2 linked regions of the Oryzias latipes genome follow. The protein of the gene in region 1 purifies or fractionates together with the protein of each later gene. This does not show direct contact. Links are inferred from orthologs where the notes say so. Each region holds a gene or a part of one and is shown in the gene's direction. Other genes may lie near its edges.

Region 1 (4,284 bases):
GTAACAATTTTACTTCTATTACTTTTAACAGCATCACATTCAAGTCTCTTTCAAAATAAAGTACACCCTAAGTTAAAAAAAAAAGATCCTCCTGCTGCAGCAGGTTTACTTGGATCAAAAATGCATTATGTCAAATTTGACATCTGACTTTAGTGCACCATAATCCTTTTTCCTCTTTTATCATTGAGTATCAACATGACAACATTGGTGTAAAATCCCTTTTTTAATGCATACATACACGTGAATCCAATCATATACTTTAAAGACTGTATGAACAGCTACTTGCAGCAGTAGATAATAGGTGCTTTGATCTAAATTTAGTAATAAACCACTCTGACACTAGGATTTGGTAAGTTACTTGACATGTTAAAAGTTTAAACATAAGACTTAAATAACTAAATCCAATGAGTGAAACTACAAACCCATCTTTTAATGGTTAGCATTTTCTTATAAACCACGATAGAAGGATTAAAAAAAGGGCTTAGGAGTATGATGAATGAGGCTGAAGACAAAAAAACAGAGAACCAAGGAGAACAAACGTACAGTAAACACTATCAAGCACTTTCATTCATTTTTGAGGCAAGCAATTGTCTATATTTAGTCGGCCGCGGCAGACTAGCTAATTTATATTAGTATACAACTGCAGTGTCATATAAAAATCAAGAACAAAAAACATTTTTATTCACTGCAGTTTTTCCCACAATACCCGATAACAAAAGACCTTCCCCGGTTTATAACCACGATATTAATGTTAAATATGATCCCTATTAACACTGTGACTTTAGTATTGCTAAAACAACTTACCGTTAAAGGACCTGAACACTTTTTCCACCACTGGGAGGCAATAACTATAGCTACACATGGGCTAGCTAGCAGCAGTAGCCAGCGACAGCTGATGGCTAACATAGACAGACAGAAACTTTGGAAAAGAGAGCCACATGAAGTACACTGACGGCCAGAGTGAGACAGCACATAAAAGCGACACACAGTAAGAACTTCGAAAAATTGTGCGTAATACCTGTCACTGCGGTAAGGCTGATTCAACCCCTACACCTAAGTTGCTTTCCTAGCTACTGTACTAGCCTTAGCATCAAAGTCTGTCGTCCCAGCTCGTGCTGTCCGAAAAATAAATAATTACTCCATCACGGCATGATTTAAGTCAGCCTACATGCGGCTTCTGGAAGGACTTTCATGAACGAAATGTTAAAAAAGCCCCATGCTATGGCGCTAAGCGGTGTTTACAAGCAACACTTTCGTTGCTCAAACTGAAGCTTCGACCCCCTCAGATTGGACGTAAACAGACCGCTACGTAAATGTACGTGCGCGCTCCCCGTCAAGCCGGACGCTCTTCTTTCCAGAAACAAGATGCCTTCGGCGCGCACTCGCCTGTCTGTGTTACTCCTGTGGGGGTGGTAAAATGACCGCTTAAAAAGGGGAAAGAGTTGCATTAAAAGTTAAAAATCGAGTTACATCGCCAAAACAGCCAAAAGCAGTTGTTTTACTGGAGCCTAAAAACTCACTTTACTCTTTTTTAGCCACCAAGGACGTCAGCTACACGGTAGGAGGAGCTAGCAGCGTGTTTCCGCTCAGCCGCGGTATAATCTATGCAGCCGTACTAAGAATCGCAACGGCCAAACACTTGGCAGCTAATACAGGAAACTGTTCAAGTTTCATTCGTTTAATCTTCGCTGTGTTGTCGCTGTCGCATCATTGAGGAGAACAAAAAGACTGTCCGCTGGATCGTAAGCAATGGAAGCCGAATTTTTAGAAATCGATGAAAACGGGAGTTGGAACGCCATTTATCAGGTAGGAACTCTCGACATGTCAAGGTGGAAAGCAGCAATGGGTGAAGCTGTCACTTTTTGAGCCAACATTTTTCTCACTTTCGCCACGATACATGAGCAGAGTCGTACAGTTCAGTCCCCGTGTTTCTCCGTATATTTTTTTTAACTAACCGCCGGCTTTGTTCCCTGTGTGGCCGGTCCATGTTTTTTTTTCTTTCTTTTTTTTCCGCTTGGTGCTCGGACCTTTTTTTTGTTGATGGATGTGTCTGCCCGGGTCCTAAACCGGCAGCACGTCCCATGAGGCAATTCAACACATGTCATTTTAAAGCTTTAAATTATTTTTGCACCATAGCTGTTAAGTTTATGACACTTTCAGCGTTTAAAAAAGCATTTCTCAGAAAAAAATTATTCACATTATTATTTGAGAAGGATTGATAACTGTTATATGACATATTATTGATCGTTTTTTCGGAGTATTCACACACTTATGCAGTTATAAAGGACAAAAATGGCACCATTAACATTTTGACAATGTTAAACAAATGTGATTGTTTTTTTATCTTAACAGGAGATTCGGCAACAATCGTGTGAACTTCCCTGTAAGATCGCCAAGTTACCCGAAAACAAGAATCGGAACCGTTACAGAGATGTCAGCCCCTGTAAGTAACGCCTCACACATCACAACATTACAGAGTTTTTAGATGTTTCATTTAGGGGTATGTAATTTAATCTACAGCCAATATCAAATACTATAATGTTATGTATAGCAGTGTTTATCAACACATCCATCTATTTAGTCAGTGGTTGCATCATTGGTAATAATGGCTGCATTCACCAGCTAATATAAAAGTAACTGATTGAACAAAATGTTTACCTTAGCTTCTGATTAACTTACAAGCTTTCCGTCAGCCTAAATATATACATTGTCCATTTAAGTATAAAAAGTTCTCTTGTTTTACTCATACATATTAAATATAGATGGGTAAATTCCAATAATATTAGTTAATTTTGAACAGATTACCAAATATTTTTGGTGAAACTAATCAACCAATCAAAACTGTCTTTAAAAAAAAAATCATTTTGGAGGAACTATTCAGACAATGCATTCAAAATGTATTATAATAAATGAAATATAACCTCCCAGTTCAAGAGCTGAACTTCAGTGGTTTCCTCTTTTTCACATTAAAGAAGCTATGCAAATTGTGAAGCATATTTTTGCTGTTTGTATTCCCCACCTTTAGTCAGACGTGAAAATGGGGAACCTGAAACCAGTTCACGCTGTTTTCAGTTGTGCTCTGAGGTTCTGTCGTAGTCACAACGCTCACTCTCAGTTCAGAAACTCCGTGACCGCTCATTTTAAACCTTTGGAGAGCCGTGTTTTTTTACCATTTGTTGCTGATTTAGAAATACAATTGGACGTCCTTCTCCGCAGTTGACCACAGCAGAATATGCCTGCAGCTGGGTGCAAATGACTACATCAACGCCAGCCTAATAACAGTTGAAGAGGCACAGAGGAACTATATTCTTACTCAGGTATGGAAATATTCCCACAGAGTTAATGTCAAAATGATTACAGCCATGATAAAAATATCTGTTTTAACAAGACTGATATTACAGAGCAGGAGTTTCCTTATTCCTTAACAAAAAGTTTAGCTTGGATTGTTTTAAGGATGTCAAGAAGCTTTTATCCACTGTCTAACATAACTGTCTTTGTATTATTTCTAGAATCTATAGTATGTGTGTGAAAGTAGATTTTAGACCATTTTTAAAGCATTGTAACTGATAATAGAACAGGAAAGTCAGTAAGCGTGATTTAAGGCGTCCTGCGTTTAGCCTGTGTACATATCTAGAGACAGACGTGCTGACAAAACGGCAAAAATGTTAGATTCCAGTCACTTGTCAGTAACGTAATGCGACATGCACCAAACAATGGTTAGAGATATGTTTCCTCTTGTGTGAAAAGGAATACCTGCAAGGGGCTGCTATGGTTCATAAATCATTAGGGATGCACTGAATACTTTAAAACTGAATATATTTCAACGAAAATCGCAAAAGAAAAATAAAAAATAGCCACATTCAGCCTTTGGTGGGCTCAAAGTTTTGTTACTTAATGTGCATCAATGATCTTGTTTATTGTGTAAAATGTAAGTAGTGCAGAGGTATTTTAAGAACTGCAGTTTGCAGCAAAAGCGTCCAAAATTTCTCCAATTTTTATAAATATAATGAAAAACTCAACATCCACCTTTTATATTCAGTAACTATTTGGTGTTCGGCCAAGCATTTTCCTTTCTTTGTTCTGCTTCTGTCACAATTTTTTCATTTCTGTGCATCCCTAATAAACATACTTGCTTTTAAAAAGTCATGGCGCTACTGTCCTGGAAACAAAAGCGTGTGAAAAATGCAATGTTTTGCCCTATAAATGATGGTCACACGCCTGAAGAGTTTCCATCTCTAGTAGGAATGGTCTAGGCTGGCGCATCAGCGGCATGTCTTCTCGTAA
Region 2 (4,463 bases), on another chromosome or scaffold:
GCTGCAGCGGTCCTCTGCACCCAAACGTGTCTCTGAGCTCCTTATTTTACAGATGAAACTCTGCTTTACTGACACTGAACCCCGGAAAGACGGCTGCACGGAAAATAATCTGATTTTGAGTCGCCAGAAGGCTCAGAATCTCTTTGTTTTAAACGTATAATCCGGAAATAAAGATTCACAAAAAACTCCACATATTTCATCTTCAAACTAGGCTCCGATAAACAGACAACTACGGGGTTTTCTCCTTGTTAATCTATGAATTTTTTCCCGTAAATTTACGAGTTTTTATCTCCTAATAAAATTACTTTTTTTTCGGTGGCCATAAAACTCTGTCGTAAACTCTTAAATACAAAGCCACTAGCTCACTAACATTAGCCATAACACTGAATACTCCTGAAAGACTCAGCTTCACTGCTCTCGCGCAACATTGCAACTTTAATCTCGAAACTTTATTTCGACTTTTATCTCGACACGACGAGTTTTTTCTCCAAACTCGTCATGACGAGATTAAAGTCGACATGACGACTTTAATCTCGTCATGTTGGCCAGAATTTTTTTTCCTCACCGTGGCCCTAAAACTCCGTCGTACGATGTCCATGTTTTATGTTCCTCAAATTTTTTTTTTTTTTGGTACTTTATGTACTCACTGTACATAAATGAGGACTGCGTGGAAAAGGTTATTTCGTTTTCTGGTTGTATAGATCACTGAGGACCTCTCCTGGACTCTGAACACCACAGTGGCAGTAGGGAAGGTGACTCCACTTCCTGAGAATACTCAGGAGGAACAACTTGGAAAAAAGCTGCCAGTGACAGAGCTACCATAAAGAGCATCCTGGTATACTGCAAGACAGCGTGGTAAACTGGGTGCACAGCCGCAGACAGGAAAACATTGCATCACCGGGTCCGCCTGCCCAGCCTGGACGCCATCGCCAGCTCTCGCTATACCAAGGCAGAGGCAAACCAAATCCAGGACCGCCTCCATCCCAGCCTTAACCGTTCCAACTGCCACTGTCAGGCCAGTGCTGCAGGTCTCACAAGGCAAACAGACTGACGGACAGGTTTTTCTTCCAGAACTGATACTAAACTAAAACCAAAAAAAGACCTCTTGTACCTCTGTGTTTTTTGGTATTTTACATATGATAATTTTTGCACATTCTTTCTCTTAGAGCTTTCTAATTTTATTGTGCATACAAGAACAATAAAATAACATTCTGATTATAAATTCTTTAACATGTTCCCTTTTTAAATGAATCTGCACCTGACACATTACTTATTTTAAAGTAATTGTCATAAAAGACCATCTTCGAACTAAAGTGACGGTGGTCCTTGATTGAAATTTGAGAAGGCCCTTTTAAATAAAGTTATTTAAAAAAAGAGGGGGCGGAGCAGTTGTGGAAACAGGAAGAAGGCGGTGTCGTGTTCACCGGTCTGTGTCACAAACATGGCGGCCTTCAGCAAGTTTGTGACAGCCAGGAATTCGTCCGCGGTTGGCGGCCTTCTGCTGCTCATCTACCTGCTCCGTAAACGGCGCAGAACGCCGAAAGGTCACAGGTGAGTGACCAACACAACACTCTGCGACGGGAGACAGCTGCCGCGCTTGACGGCTTGTTGTTGGCGGCTGTCTGGGAGTGGGACATTTAGGGGTAATCGTCAAGTCGGGATTGGAGCCGGATTCAGCCTGGTTGACAGGCCGGTTCAGTTCGTCACACCGTGGTTTCGTCCTTGTCGTCAGTCCTCGAGTTATGGTCCAGGTGGCCTTCACAGGTACAGCGCGGCCCTAAAGTTCCAGCAGATAAGCCGGTCGTTGAACGTTGACCGGCTCGTAACGTCGCGTTATCTCGGTGACGGTCAGGAGGGGAAAGTTCGGGTGCTGGAACTGGACCACTGCGAACCGATGCATTGGTTCGGACCGAACCACCGAACCAGGCTTTGTTACTGTCCCAAGTATTGTTAAGCCACTTTTGGACCCACTGGACAGACGTGTGCAACCATGTGTCACCTGCTGTGGACATTTGTAACATGCTAACTCATAACTGAGCTCGGCACGCGCCGGGGCGCGTGCGTCTGTGGCTCGTGTCCTTGGGTCAGGTCGGAAGCCGGGAAACGAGCCACAGGCGTAAAACAAATCAAAACAGGTGTTTGATTAAAATAAAAGAATGGCAGAAATGTAATGAATGAAGATGTTCCTCACAGGGAAGACGTAGCAAAAACTCAGTTTGTCTCTGTTCTCCTCCCCAGTTCTAAAGGAGAGCCGACCTTGCTTCTCAACACAGAGGTTTGTTCCAACAGAGCAGCTTTTACCATATATTTTTCCCGGATGGAGCAGAATCTGACACATTGTGCTGTCTTCATGCAGAAAGATGGCAAAAGAGACAAGGCGGCCGTGGATAAAACCTTCTTCCTCCGAGTCCTTAAGATTTTGCGAATCATGGTGCCGGGAGTATTCTGCATGGAGGTACTGTCATGTTTGAGAGTATTTGGATCAGGAAAGTTTTCACAAAGGCTGATCACTAATGAAGGCTGTAGGAAACGCTGAGTCATCTTTAAACAACAATCCAGAATCACAAAAGTCGGTTTATTCTTTTCAAGCCCCAGCTTTTTCCCCACAGAGATGGAGAAGAACTAAAGAATCTTTGCTTTAAAAAAATCGATACCTAATTTAACTTCATATGCCACCCTTTTTTCCAGTATCTGTTTTTGTTTTAAGTCTTAATGTCTCACTCCGATCATCTTTTGATCTATTGTAAAATATTTCCCAGTGATCTTTTAATTAGGATGATGACGATTTTAGGCAAAATTTAAAAACCTTGTTGTTTTCTAGGATATAGTTTCTGCAGAGCGGCAGTAGTTCATCAGAACTTGTCATAGAGCAACGCCGCCTCCCCTCCCCTCCCCTCCCCTACCCTCCCTTTTCTGTTGCAGAGTGGAGCAAAGGGCTACCCTATTTTCTACATCACAAATACAATATTTTTTTCAAACTGTATTTTTTCATCTGCTCCTAAATAACAACAATTTGAATGAAGACATACTCAGAAATGCCATTTTAATCTTAATTTTGTTTATCTGTGTACTTAATGAGAAAAATGCCACAAGACCTTGTCAAAAAAACACTGTTTTCATCAGAGTGGGTCTTTAAGACTGGCCAGGTAATATTAATTTTAACTTTCTTCTGGAAAAATGGCCATAATATTCAATAATTTGCTCACCTCATTGCTGCACGTACCATAAGCATTCATGGTCTGAGATTTGACAGAAGTGTTTCTAATAGTGGAGGCAGAGCAAAACCTCTGCTGTGAAAGTGGAGATGACCAATTTTCAAAGGACAAAACCTTTGCCTTACTTAATGGTTTGCCATGTTTAATGGTTCCTCCCTGTTATTCATTGGCTGCGTTCCTCATAGACAACCTACCTGATCCTCATTGCCAGCATGCTGGTGACCAGAACCTACTGTGACGTGTGGATGATCCAGAACGGAACCATGATTGAAAGGTCTGACCTGTCTTCAGACTCTTTTTGTCCTGAGTCACGTCGTTGTTAGATGTGTGTGAACCACTGACTGTAGATGAGAACTGGACCGAGTCATTGTGACGTTACTCATAGATGATGCCTTACTTCGTGCTCTAACCAAATTAAGTTAATTTAGTCACCATTTTTTACAATACGGACGGCGCCATGTAGATGCCAGATGACGTTGGTAAGCAGTGATTGGCCCAAGTCTGTTGGAGTCATCGTTTCTATGGCAATCTCTCTCACCAATCAGGAGTGACCTTGTTAGAAGTTTACACCCTTGAAAATTGTGTTGGTAGAATCTGTCAATCAAAAGCGAGACCTCCTACTTTTATTGAGGCATCTGATTGGTCAGTTTATAACTTGAATAACTTAAACTACAGAAAAGTTTTCATTAAAAAATGAGGATTATCAAGAACAGGTTTAAAAAAAAAAAAAAAAAAAAAAAGTTATCAGACCTGAAATGCTTACTCTGACATATAGAATGACTGAGCAATAGCAGTTTATTTCCCAGTAAGCGTCTATGGCTATATCTGAATTCCCTCCTTACTTCCTACCAAATAAAAAACTAAATAGTGCGGCACTGTAGTGTCCTTGATTTAAAAGCATTTTGTACACCAGTGTGTTCTGGTGATGAAAACTTGGATGTTTTATTAAAAAAATTATTACAATACTTCTTTTTATCTTCTTCTCAAAAATAGTTTGAACACAATGGATTGTGGTCCATATTCGCAAACCTCGTGAGCATTTATGCAGACTGTTTTTTTGCGGAGACAAATTTTTAGGGCACTAGATTTTGTAATTGAAGATTTGAACAGAACTACAAAATGCTGAACGCACTATATAGGGCACTTTGTAGTGTTTACAGAGATTTGGACACAATCTATGGGATTTTGGATTCTTGGCGCCTGCTGGTGCTTCCTGTTTGGATCACCAGGGGGAAGGGGCCGCTCCAG

The links.
Region 2: the proteins of ptpn1 (region 1) and abcd3 purify together in Homo sapiens (affinity purification with mass spectrometry; 3 studies listed by BioGRID and IntAct, with this or other methods). This does not show direct contact. The link is inferred for Oryzias latipes from reciprocal best matches to the Homo sapiens genes PTPN1 and ABCD3.

What each region holds. Positions count from the first base shown.
Region 1 is NC_019865.2:21,841,482-21,845,765, forward strand, and holds the start of ptpn1 (tyrosine-protein phosphatase non-receptor type 1), read left to right. Parts: upstream 1-1,397; 5' UTR 1,398-1,749; coding exon 1,750-1,806; intron 1,807-2,352; coding exon 2,353-2,443; intron 2,444-3,216; coding exon 3,217-3,317; intron 3,318-4,284. Other genes in the region: klhl12 (kelch-like protein 12), read right to left, coding at 805-862. UniProt on the Homo sapiens protein: Tyrosine-protein phosphatase which acts as a regulator of endoplasmic reticulum unfolded protein response. Mediates dephosphorylation of EIF2AK3/PERK; inactivating the protein kinase activity of EIF2AK3/PERK.
Region 2 is NC_019878.2:5,052,611-5,057,073, forward strand, and holds the start of abcd3 (ATP-binding cassette sub-family D member 3), read left to right. Parts: upstream 1-1,403; 5' UTR 1,404-1,441; coding exon 1,442-1,551; intron 1,552-2,238; coding exon 2,239-2,275; intron 2,276-2,356; coding exon 2,357-2,455; intron 2,456-3,400; coding exon 3,401-3,489; intron 3,490-4,463. UniProt on the Homo sapiens protein: Broad substrate specificity ATP-dependent transporter of the ATP-binding cassette (ABC) family that catalyzes the transport of long-chain fatty acids (LCFA)-CoA, dicarboxylic acids-CoA, long-branched-chain fatty acids-CoA and bile acids from the cytosol to the peroxisome lumen for beta-oxydation.